Kluyveromyces lactis: one gene and its partners. The protein of the gene in region 1 interacts with the protein of each later gene in a pairwise test. Links are inferred from orthologs where the notes say so. Each region holds a gene or a part of one and is shown in the gene's direction. Other genes may lie near its edges.

The links. The genes of interacting proteins can lie anywhere in the genome.
Region 2: the proteins of RBD2 (region 1) and TMN3 interact in a protein complementation assay, tested with the Saccharomyces cerevisiae proteins (2 studies listed by BioGRID). The link is inferred for Kluyveromyces lactis from reciprocal best matches to the Saccharomyces cerevisiae genes RBD2 and TMN3.
Region 3: the proteins of RBD2 (region 1) and ERS1 interact in a protein complementation assay, tested with the Saccharomyces cerevisiae proteins (2 studies listed by BioGRID). The link is inferred for Kluyveromyces lactis from reciprocal best matches to the Saccharomyces cerevisiae genes RBD2 and ERS1.
Region 4: the proteins of RBD2 (region 1) and ATG27 interact in a protein complementation assay, tested with the Saccharomyces cerevisiae proteins (2 studies listed by BioGRID). The link is inferred for Kluyveromyces lactis from reciprocal best matches to the Saccharomyces cerevisiae genes RBD2 and ATG27.

What each region holds. Positions count from the first base shown.
Region 1 is NC_006040.1:1,092,869-1,095,499, reverse strand, and holds RBD2 (putative rhomboid protease RBD2), read left to right. Parts: upstream 1-1,315; coding exon 1,316-2,131; downstream 2,132-2,631. Other genes in the region: KLLA0_D12826g (uncharacterized protein), read right to left, coding at 1-582; MRPS17 (mitochondrial 37S ribosomal protein uS17m), read right to left, coding at 2,331-2,631. UniProt on the Saccharomyces cerevisiae protein: Probable rhomboid-type serine protease that catalyzes intramembrane proteolysis.
Region 2 is NC_006041.1:1,856,926-1,860,889, reverse strand, and holds TMN3 (Tmn3p), read left to right. Parts: upstream 1-1,433; coding exon 1,434-3,464; downstream 3,465-3,964. Other genes in the region: anaphase promoting complex subunit CDC27, read right to left, coding at 1-373; U6 snRNA complex subunit LSM4, read right to left, coding at 3,952-3,964. UniProt on the Saccharomyces cerevisiae protein: With EMP70 and TMN2, plays a critical role in the late stages of a nutrient-controlled pathway notably regulating FLO11 gene expression. Acts downstream of RAS2 and TOR. Essential for cell adhesion and filamentous growth.
Region 3 is NC_006042.1:2,538,715-2,541,213, forward strand, and holds ERS1 (cystinosin-like protein ERS1), read left to right. Parts: upstream 1-1,246; coding exon 1,247-1,999; downstream 2,000-2,499. Other genes in the region: KLLA0_F27423g (PDK/BCKDK family protein kinase), read right to left, coding at 1-177; SYG1 (Syg1p), read right to left, coding at 2,396-2,499. UniProt on the Saccharomyces cerevisiae protein: Cystine/H(+) symporter that mediates export of cystine, the oxidized dimer of cysteine, from vacuoles/endodomes.
Region 4 is NC_006037.1:574,520-577,126, reverse strand, and holds ATG27 (Atg27p), read left to right. Parts: upstream 1-1,249; coding exon 1,250-2,107; downstream 2,108-2,607. Other genes in the region: KLLA0_A06336g (60S ribosomal protein uL22), read right to left, coding at 1-240; PFD1 (prefolding complex chaperone subunit), read right to left, coding at 2,314-2,607. UniProt on the Saccharomyces cerevisiae protein: Effector of VPS34 phosphatidylinositol 3-phosphate kinase signaling. Regulates the cytoplasm to vacuole transport (Cvt) vesicle formation.

The sequences.
Region 1 (2,631 bases):
ATCAAACACTACAATCAACACTTTAGACAGTTCCATCAAATCTTTTAAATGATTATCCCCGTAGAACTTTTTGAATGCATCCTTAGAGGTAGCTAACAAATGTGCTTCATCCACAATAATCACGTCGCATTGTGAATTGGTCTTGTTCAAACTGTTTATTACAGAAGTGGGTCTTTCCAATGACGATTTTTTAATATATGGGAAAGATCTACTAATCTGATGGTATAATTTCAACATTTCGGGGTGGTTCACCACCAAGTAGTTATGGGTACCTTTCAAAATGTCATTGGCAGACCCGTGCATGGATTGTTTCTGCAAATCATTGAACAACGCGTTCAAAATTACTGATTTCCCTGTACCTGCATCACCTTCGATAACGTACATTGAAGGTTTTCCATCGTAATTAAACAACTTCTTCTTGATGAAATCAAACACACCGGCCTTCAATTGTACCTGCTCATCTGATAACTGAATCTTTGAAAGATTATCGATGGCCTTGGACCCTGAGATTCGCTGAACAGTTTGTGATTGCGGCATAACTCTTGAACTTTTCTTTGCAACTCTTGACATTGCTCGACGCATTCAGCTGGAGATATACGAGGTACTTCACTTTCAAACGCCAATAATAGCAGCGTTCTTAATTAGTGCATTGAGACACAATAGCAACGGAATATCATACTTGTAGAAGTAAAACTGGCAAGTATTTGATGAGGAACTTATCAACTTTTAAAGCTTTGCATGTTCGGACTTAAAGGCAGCGATGGGCAAAATTTCAGAAGTGTCAGTTATCGAGGCAAACAGATTTCGATTAGCTGCAATAATGATTACGTCCTGATTACACCTACTGATATGATAATTCAAATGGCCTTCAGGCCATTGGGTTGTCATTGCTGGGTAGATTCTTGGATAGTTTATGTACTGTTTCTAAATCCTATCAAATATGAACCGATCTGGACATTAAATCATGAAATACCCAAACGGAATGTTATAACACAGTTGAGAATATAAAATGACAGACTAGTGCAAAAAGAAATCCTCGTGCGCTTAGCCTAGCTAGTAACTTAATACTCCTTAAGAAACTAGTACTCAAGCATCCTAGTTCCTATATCTTGGCAGTCACAAGGCAGAAGTCATAAGTCACGTGACTATACCACTTTATCCTTTTGATAATGGAAAATATCAACGACACTTGAAACTTAGCAACAGATCTCATCTCATCTCATCTCATCTCAATCATTTCAGGGAATTCCACACAGCTGCATCTTCCGGTCCTCATCAGCAAGGAAAATACTGGTATCCTGATATTACTAAGTTGATGAATATCAAGCAATTTTTCGTTCCAGCCGGGAAACCTTTATCCGGTTTGGCAGTAGGACTCAGTATCTTTTTAACTGCATTGTTCTTAGTGAACAATCTGGTATACCCTATCAATGAACACCTTCTGCTAAAGCCTGATTCACTATTCAAGTTTGATTTGAACAGAATCTCGTTGTACCCGTTGGCTCATCTCTCATTTTTCCATTTGTTCTTCAATGTCATCTCGACTTTCTCTATGATTGTGATGTTCGAGGAATCCCATGGAACTCTTTACACTGGTGTCATATTGAATCTATTAGCCGTATTTACTGCAATCCCATACTGTTTAATCGGTTCTTTGCTATTCCCCAATGTCGAGATCGGTGGTGCAAGTGGTTGGTTCTTCTCTTTCTTGGGATACTTTGCTGTGAAAGAATCCCGAGTTCGTAACTCAGTGATGATCACCAGTACTTTTTCATTCCCAACATTATACTTCCCAGTAGCATTACTATTCGTTACTGCTCTATTGGCGCCTGGTTCTAGTCTACCAGGTCATGCAATTGGGTTACTATTAGGATACTTCATGGGGTTGAAAGAGAATTGGGTAGCCAAGATTACTCCACCAAGCTTTGTATTGAAGAAAATTGAAACATGGGTCGATCCATTGATCAATCTGATCCCATTCGGTATTAAGTACTATAGGGAAGTTGAAGTGGACAGATCACTTGAATATACTTCCGTTTACCTGGGGTCAGAATCCAGATTGCCCTTGCATAATACGGATACTCCAGCGGAGCCCACATTTCAAGGAAACGGAAGAGTCTTGGGAAATTGAAATGTGAATCCTCAGAAATTAGATACTAGAGATTTAAATCATCTGCTGTTCTTCTTCTTTTTCTTCAAACCCAACTTTTGAAATATTGATAATTATATTTACATGCGTGTTACTTCGATGCGGCGGGGAGAATTATATTCATTCTATATACATAGGGAAACATCCTTTTTAATTATTTTCTGTCATTCCTCTTTTTCTCTCATACGTTGAGTTCCTCGAGTATGTGCTTTCTCAAGATGTTCTTCTTGATATTCTTCTTCAACAGTTGAGGATTCTCCAAACCTTTCGATAGTAAAAATTCATTAGCCAAGGATTCGTTCTTGGTATACTCTGCCAATTTTTCTGTAATAGCATCGATCTTCTGCTGCTGTTGTTTCACTTGGGTTTCAATCTTGAGAATATCCAACTGTAATATTTGCTTCAAGGATTCCGGACTAAACTTATCAATTCCGTAACGGCTCTTAATCTCTTTAACTGCGGCAGAATCCTCGGTACCATCT
Region 2 (3,964 bases), on another chromosome or scaffold:
TGTTCAAGTACAGGGATAGAGAGTAAAAGTAATTCGCAAGCGCTCTTTCCTGAGATGATTCGTCCAGATTCGAGCATTCCGCAAATAACAACTCTGAGACGAAAACGGCGGATTCTATGTTCAACTGTGATAAATGATCCGAGATTAGAGTTTCAAGTCTTTTAAATTTCTCTGAAAGATGTGAGAGATTCGATGAATCAACATAATTTGAAGCAGAGGCAGCTGCTGCTGTTGCTGCTGCATCTGCTGCGGAGGTTGCAGACGGCAGGCCGTTGAAGACTGATGCATCCATAATTTCTTGATTGTGACCACCTAAACTATCATGAGCAGGCACATTTCCACCAGCATTCTGCCGCACAGAATGGAATAGCATGGGTTGGTTAACTTAAAGAAACCAACAGCACTTCTTAAGTTCTCTCTTGATAAATTTGCAGTGCACTACATACATTGCACCTCTCCCTCATCTATGTATACAAAAACAATATGATTTCTAGATTTGAAATTTATCCTGACATAATGATAACAATAATAATTACAGTCACGTGATGTGCTTTTTTGAGCCTCAGTAGAAGTTGTTACCCGGTCATTACGCTAACATGTGTATTGTCCTCTGGCACCCATGCACCACGTATTGTATATCTCGAATTTTTGAATCGATTCTTGATCTGCTTTAAGGAAAGGCAAACGGAAAACAAAAACAGAGCTTTATGTGCAGAAAGGGTCTGGAACAAGAAGACACTGGCCAGCACAGAGGAAACTGTTTTTTTTTAGATAGTCACAGAGGATATATTGTCTCACTCAGCCTGACTAAATAAAAGAAGGCGAGAGACAGCACAAGGGCAGATTAACATATTATATAATTAATGTTTACGAATAGCTTACAGAATGTGTAGAGTGGATATTAATACAGTTACGTTAATATAGACCCCATACGTGGAGAGTAATGTACGTAGATATATATATCCATCTTATCGCTGCCGTGTACTAACTATTCAGGATAATGATTCCTTTTCCAGAAGAAAAAAAACGATTTTTCAGAATTTTTCCTTGTCGATTTTCTATTCTTCGAGATGAGCTTTTCATATTTAAAGCATATCTCAGGCAAAAAGGGAAAAGAGTAGAGGAGAAAGTTTAAATGGTAAACAAGACTTCACTCTGAGGTTTTTGATAGGATATATATATATATATATATATATATATATCTGTATTATACTACTGTCCTGGTTTTGGTTTTGTTTTGGTTTTGGTTAATAATTTTCCTGGGGTTTTTTTCTTTTGATCGAAGAACACTGGTATCCGCCCTCCGTGTTTGTGTGTGACATTAAACTATTATATTTCCTTAACACAATTATTCATACTGTTCCTCATTTATTTCTGTCTTTCGCTTTAGTTCATAAACCATTAACACACGCAGCCACCACTAAACTCTTGTTATGAAACTGAAATCAAGATCGGTTCTAGTCAGTTTACTGGTACTTTTAAGTCTAATATGGGTTCTTCCAAGGCTGAGAAATCATCGTCGGCCTTCCCCAGATGCCAACCCATTCAAATTTTCTTCGTCGTACCAGCAGCACACTGGAGTTTTCAAAGAGTACGGACTATTGAGTCCGAACTTCTATGAGTATGGTGATAAGGTCGATATCACTGTGAACAAAGTCGAATCTGACTTAACTCATTTCTCGTATGGATATTACGACTTACATTTCACTTGTCCACCGTCGCAGGACATGAAACCTTTACCCTTGACTTTCAGTGACATATTATACGGGAACAAGAAATGGCAATCGGACTATCAGCTGACGTTCGGTAAAGACGAGGATTGTGTGCGATTATGTGATAGGAAAACTAACGGTGAGGGGAAGAAACAAGCCTATGAATTAATTAAACAGAATTACGTCGTCCAATGGTTGGCCGATGATGATTTACCAGGTGCTACCACGTATCTTAACACCAAAGATAAGAAAAAATACTATTCATCGGGGTTCCCACTGGGTCAATACGATCCAGAAACTGATGAGGCCTATATTAATAACCATGTCATGATTGTAATTCGTTATCATACCATCGATCAGGGCAAAAATACCATTGTTGGGTTTGAGGTCTATCCGAAATCCGTTTCAGATCATCACTGTCCTGGCGCCTCCAAGGATTATACTCCCTATAAGATCGACCCAACTAATGAGGATATTGAGTTTATCTCCTTCACTTATGCCGTGTATTGGAGAGAAGATTTCAAAGTGGATTGGAAAAACAGATGGAATTTCTTCATTAATGGTGGAGAGTTAAAGGAATCGACTTCAAATCAATTCCATTGGATTACTTTCGCTAATGGTATAATTGTCACTTCATGTTTGCTTTTGATCGTCATAGCCATTTTGAAAAGACAGGAAACTGATGGTTCGATTACCACTCAACTAGCTGCGGAATGGTCGAAGGCTAGAGTTCCTTTATTCTTTCAGTTGAATTTGCTCGTTTCTATGGGTATTCATTTCCTTTTCACCACTCTTGGAACTTTGATTATTTCTTGTTCATTGAATCATACCCATCGTATTGGCAGCTCTGTACTCACCTGCGCAGTATTCCTATTTATCAGTGGTAGTTTTACATCATCTTTCATCGGTGCTCTACTTGAGGGGCAAATGTCTCAACATAAATTGGTCAATTCAATCATATTCGGATCAACTCTACCGGGAATTACTTTGGTTATCGTTTTGTTATTGAATTACATACTTAAGGCCAATAATGCTGCAAATACTTTACCCCATGGTACCGTTGCATTACTATTTGGTGCTTATTTCATTGTTTGCGTTCCAATATCAATCATTGGTGGGAAATGTGCCGATAGGTTTTTAAAAGTTAACTCCACAAATACTTTGCTTAATAGCTTTGCATTGGCAGAAGTGAACAAACATGACACTAGGCCTTTGTACGTTGAGAGTAAGAACTCTATTCCGTTCGTCTTAAAAAATCCTATTGCGATCACTCTCACCTTTGGACTTATTCCATTTGCTCTAATATACGTGGAGTTGTTATTTGCTTACAAATCACTTTGGCTACAAAAGACTACTCTGTATTACTTATACGGATTCCTTTTGAGTAATATTGTTATCGTTTGCATATGTATCTGCCTTCTATCCATTATTGGTTGTTACATTCATCTAAACTATGGTAATGATTCTTTGAATTTCAAATGGGACAACGTTATAGGAAGGGTTCTAGAAGCATGTCATTCATGGAGATGGAAGGCATTTCATATGGGTGGTGCAGTTGCATGGTATATGGAAGCGTACTCTATTTTGTATTTGATTTTTGTTGCCAGATACAGAGATTTCATCTCATCTTTCCTATTTGTCTGTTATAGTACGTTATTCAACATTCTCTGCTGGACAGCATTTGGATCTTTAAGTTACCTAAGCTCATTGTGGTTCATCGGTAAGCTGAATGAATATAACAAGGCTAAATAAGTTCGCCTCTTATATTTAAAGTGAGGCCAAAAAAAAAAAGTCCGGCTCTCTTCAGGAGTCTCATATTTCTCCTATATAATACTGCATATCTAGCATGGACTTTCTAAACCAAGCATTTTTGTATAGAGTAATTTAAAAAATAACAACATTTGATCTTTTCCACGGTACCCATGCTCACATACTCTTAATATATAAAGCACTGATATACTGCTTTGAACTTAAGGTTCACTAACTCTGAATCATAATTAATAGGTAGTTCTTTTAATTTCATAACCCAAATTCAGTTTTAAATCTCAAAAGTGTGAAAGGAGTAACGAGAAAAAGGTTTAGGATATCGCATCGAATGCAATCGAAACAGATGTTTTTATAGACTTTTGACCGTCCAAGCCAACAAAATAGTCTCTTTAACCGCAATAAAAGTGATTGAATATGTAACCATGTAGACACACAAATACTTAAGAATTAAATGCTGAGAAAAGAGGTTAAATCAAAATTGTGGA
Region 3 (2,499 bases), on another chromosome or scaffold:
CCTATGTGCCAACCGTACAGGCAGTTCATTTAGTAAAAAGCAAGAAGCCTTGAACATTAAACCTGGGGTTGGATGAGACCCAAATTGACACATTTGACGCAAGGACACCGCTGTTTGCGGTGTCTCCGAGTATTGCCATATTTTGGTCAAAAGAGAACTCGGAAATTTCACAGCCATTCTGCTTTATCGGTTCCTGTATTTTAACCCAAGAATTTCAGAAATAAATAGAGATGAAAAAGAATAGTTCCTGCCTATTTGAGATCACCTATTTCAACTAGTATATTGTTCGAGAGAAAGTGAAGTGATTAAACCCTCTACTCAATGGTGAAAATCAAGAGAACTTGAATGATTCTTATCGAAAATTCAAACAATCCAAATATTTTATCCACTGCACATGAAACTAAAGAGACGCAATCATATACCACAGTAAGCTCAGTAACCTTGTCTGCAGATTGTCTGAACTTTTGGCTTGCAGAACAAAGAATACGAAATCAAATAATTCATAGCTTTAAGTACTCGAATGATGAAAAGAAAATACAAACAAAAAAAAATCATCATAATAAATAGCGAATTAAACTAATTTAAACCTGGAGAAACAGCAATCTCAGCATATTGTTAATTTTCAATTTTAGTAATTCGATGAACTACTTTCCCTAGTTGTTTTTATGCAGTGCTCCCTAAGCGATCGATTTTTTTCACTGATGTTCGTGATAGAAGTTTTCAAATGAACCTGTAGCCTTAACGGATGAATGGAAGTTATGAGGTTTGTGCGCTTTGAAAACCCTTTTAAGAAACTCATTCCTATACGAAACTTTCTCTATGCTTTTCTCTCACAGATTGCGAAAGAATCACGTCACGTGAATAACGATTCCTTCACAGAAGATTTTGGTGTACATTGCCAATTGGAATAGTTCACTGCAATGAATGTCATTTCGAGGTCTTGTGTTCGGAAAATATTGACACTGGTGCCTGTTAACTTGATCTGCTGGAAATGCTGATGCAACAATCGAAATTCTACTGTTTTTCCTCCTAACAAACCTTTTTCGTTCTTAAGTATTTTTTCTATTTACGTCAAACATCGAAAGTAACGCCAAAATTCTATGAGAATGGATTAGTTACTAGTTATAGAATTGTGTGGTTATGGCCAAAACAGAAACGGATTTATTCTTCATCGGAATAAGACAAGTAATCCTTTCAGATAGAACTTCAACGGTACTGTAACTAAGCATCAGAAGATGGAGCAGTAATGGAAAGGGTGCTGGGAATAACATATGTCATTTGTTGGTCCGTTTCAGTGTATCCAGTGGTCTGGGCCAATTGGAAAAATGGGAATGCTAATGCTGTGTCATTTGATTATGTTGTCTTAAATACTGTCGGTTATTCATGCTTATTAGCATCCATGGTATTGCAGAAACTGTTCTGGGCTGAAGGTACTGATGAAACACTGATTGCCCCAGAAATTTCCGGATCAGATCTCATTTATTGCGGGCATGGTACCTTATTGTGCTTCGTTCTCTTATCACAATTTTTGTTAGGGAATAGACTATGGAATTTCTCACACACTACCAGAACGCATCCAAAGATGCATACGGTGTACAAGAGGATGTTTTCCATCATAATGTTAGTTGTCTTGGTCATAACGATTATTTTCTTTACAGATATTTTAACAGTTGGTTTGTCAAATGCAACATTACTCTCTTATTGCAATAATTTATCACTTGTAAAGATCACAATGTCTCTGATAAAGCATCTTCCCCAGGTGAGGCACAACTTCCAAAGGAAGAGTATGGCAGGATTTCCTATCCAATCGACTTGTATAGACGTCTTGGGGAGTGTATGTTCATTGAGTCAATTAGCTCTTCGTTTAGCTTCAAAACCGCAGGGATTGACCCTGATGTCCTTTTTCACCAACTTCGGGAAGATTGGTATTGGATTGATCACACTTTTGTTTAATATTGTGTACGTCTCTCAATGGATTGTTTATAGTTTATCACCATAGATTTCTTCAACTGCTTAGCTGAACTGAAATCCATACATACAAATTAGTGCTTGGTTAAAGTAGTTGGATGAAGTTAATATTAAATATCATACATTTCTCAGAAGCTGGAGTTGTAAGAGAGTTGTAACCTTGCACCTTGTTCTTCTTTTAATATTTAGCGACTCAATGTGACTTCTGAGGAAATAATAGTGAACTTTAAATGATTTTTTCAGGGTTGGCATAGAACAAAGGATTTCATTTCATAACAGTCCAAAAGCCTAGCTCTGAGTGGTATAATGAAATGCTAAGCTGTAAAATTAGACATTGGGTTGTTATAAACACTTTAAATGGTAGCTTTTATTATATATTTACAACATTTCCATTTAGCCAGCGGAAAGAATAACAAAACCAGATATTCTAAACTTCGCTCTCTGCTTCAGATTCACTGTCGCTGATGGCAGCAGAGTTGACGCTAGCAGTTTCTATAGGTCTTTGGAAATCTGTGGCATGTGCCCAAGGAA
Region 4 (2,607 bases), on another chromosome or scaffold:
CTTGGTGACACCGAATTCCTTACCTTGGGCAGTTCTACCAATAGAAGAGTTGAATCTTCTGAATGGAATAGCTCTTTGGTGATCCAAAACTTGGTCCAAGTACTTTTGAGCCTTTTGTAAATTCCAACCACTGATAGCTTGAGCAGTTTCTCTGGTGTTCTTGTAAGAAACACGCAAGTAGGAACCACGAGCAGAAGCAGACTTAGCTGGGTTAGTGGAAGTAGCACCGTATCTAGCCATTGTGTATCACTCTGTTTGAAGGTCTTAGTTCTCGGTCCTGTATCAAAACACTAATTAACACGTCTAAACCACTACTCTTTAATATATGGTAACAATGTATATATGCTATATTATCGTATATTCTTTATTCACAATATTTCCAAATTTCCAAACCTGTAAATTGATTCTCACGGTGTGGCAGGCGGGTTTCCGTCTGGGAATGAAAAATTGGAAAGGTGAGAGCCAGCGTGGAGGAATTGCTGCTAGGCAGGAGTTCTGCCTACCGCAACGGGAGACTAGGCAGAGACAAGCAAACCGTAGCAGGAGGAGGCGCCAGAGCAGCGAGGGACCTGGAGTTAGAGTGAGCCCATGGCCAACGTCCGGCGCATCATTGAGTGTAAGACTGATGCCGGTGAATGTGATAGGGGGAGCATGGTAGGTTGAGGAACCGCCTGGGTTGCTGAAACTTACCACTCTGGAGCCGGGACCGGTGTGGTTAGTGGGAGGACTGTGCAGAGAGAGGCCCGCCCTGAGATTTCCGTCCTTCTGCCTAGCTGCATACAACCTCAGCTGTTCAACGAATGAAAAATGAAAAATAAACTTGTCACCTAATTAGGATGTTTATATTATAGAGAATAAAGAAGGAGATTTATGGGTGTTAAATATCGCATGTAAAAGGATGCACGGGCTTAAACAGTCACAAGATGGATATTTACCCGGCCACATATATTTCCCCTAAGCTAATGACATTTATCAGATAGGATTAGCATTAATATACAACGAGTTCTTTACATTTCCATTTGAACCATAACTACTTTTGAAGCCCTATGTTGTCTACATCAGGTATCCAAGCAAGGTAACTACGCAAATAATTAAGTGCTGAGTACATACAGTGCCCTTTGAAAAGTCGCCTCTTCTCAAGATTTCGCTCTAATAAGAGTTTATTGTTGTCTCAGGGGAGTTATATATACCGAAAACGGGTTTATTGAATAATTCCAAAGGAAACTACGCAAAACTATACATACACGCCATGAAAGTGCTACTAGCAACCGCTTTAGTATCGCTTTTGCCATTTTCTTCAGCGGTAGAGTGCTCTAAAAACGAAATCCTCAACAAATATAGAGTCAATGAGTTTTCCATAGGCGGTGTTTCTGTACAGGATACACCACCAAGTGAGACTAAAGAGAGTTGGTGGTTGAATATTTGTGATGAACATGATTCCAAATCGTCCATACCTGACCAATGTAATGTGAAGGATATTTTTTGTGGCGTTACATCTGTTGCATTACCGGGGAAAGAATCAATTGTCACCAAAGTGATGGATTTCACCAGTTCTGTGGCCCTTGAAGTGAAAGAAACCGCGGAAGCATTGTCTATAAGGCTTTCTGGTGCCGCCTGGGGGTCTCATATCTTGAATGCTGATATATATCTACAATGCCAGGAGAAAGGTTCGGGTTCTTTAACGGAATCCAGCTGGACCGATGATCAAAATGTGAAACTAGTGTTCTCTGGTCCATTTGGTTGTTTGAAAAAGGGAAATGACAATAAAGATGGCAACGGAGACGACGATAACAATGATAAGGATGGTGATGACTCCGATAAGAAGCCTCACGATGGTGATAAAAATGGATCCAAACCAAAGGGCGGAGCTGGTCTTGGGTCGTGGCTCGTATGGCTATTCATGTATGCAACTATCTTTGCCCTTATTTATCTCGTGGTTACTTCGTATATGAACACTAGAAACGGTTCCTTTAACGATTTCCGGGAAGAGTTCGTTGATAGATCGACTACGTTCGCTACCAATCTCCCACAATTCGCTAAAGAAGTGGCAGGGAAAATCGTAAATAGTGGTTCATCGTCTCAAAGAGGCGGATACAGTGCGGTTTGATCGAATGTACCTCCTCCTTGACGTGCGATGAATAAAGACCACATGTATTCTGAAATAGAGAATTCTTAATGTACAACTATATATAACATTACCACTGCTAAATACTTTAACTCTATTCTATGATGAATACGACTTTTAAGGGTACTATCTTCCCACATTGCTTGACCCATACAAAAACCCCTGTCGATGCCGACTCAGTAGTTGATTTAATTTCCAATGACTCTTCTCAAACTCTCTACCGTGTTATCGACTGTGGTCTGTAGGTAATGTCTCTTTTGTTCCAATGCCTTTATCTGTTCGTCCAATATTCTTTCATCATGGTTTAAATCAGCAGTGTAGGCTTGCTTCTCTTGACGGATGAACATCTTACCACAAGATCTCCACACTTGCTCATTTCCATAATTTCCCAATTCCTTTTCAGTCAACTTAGCAATCTTTTTTTGCCTCTGTAGTTGTTCCAGTTGTGCAAGCGTCATATCCAATTGTGATCTGCTGTTACG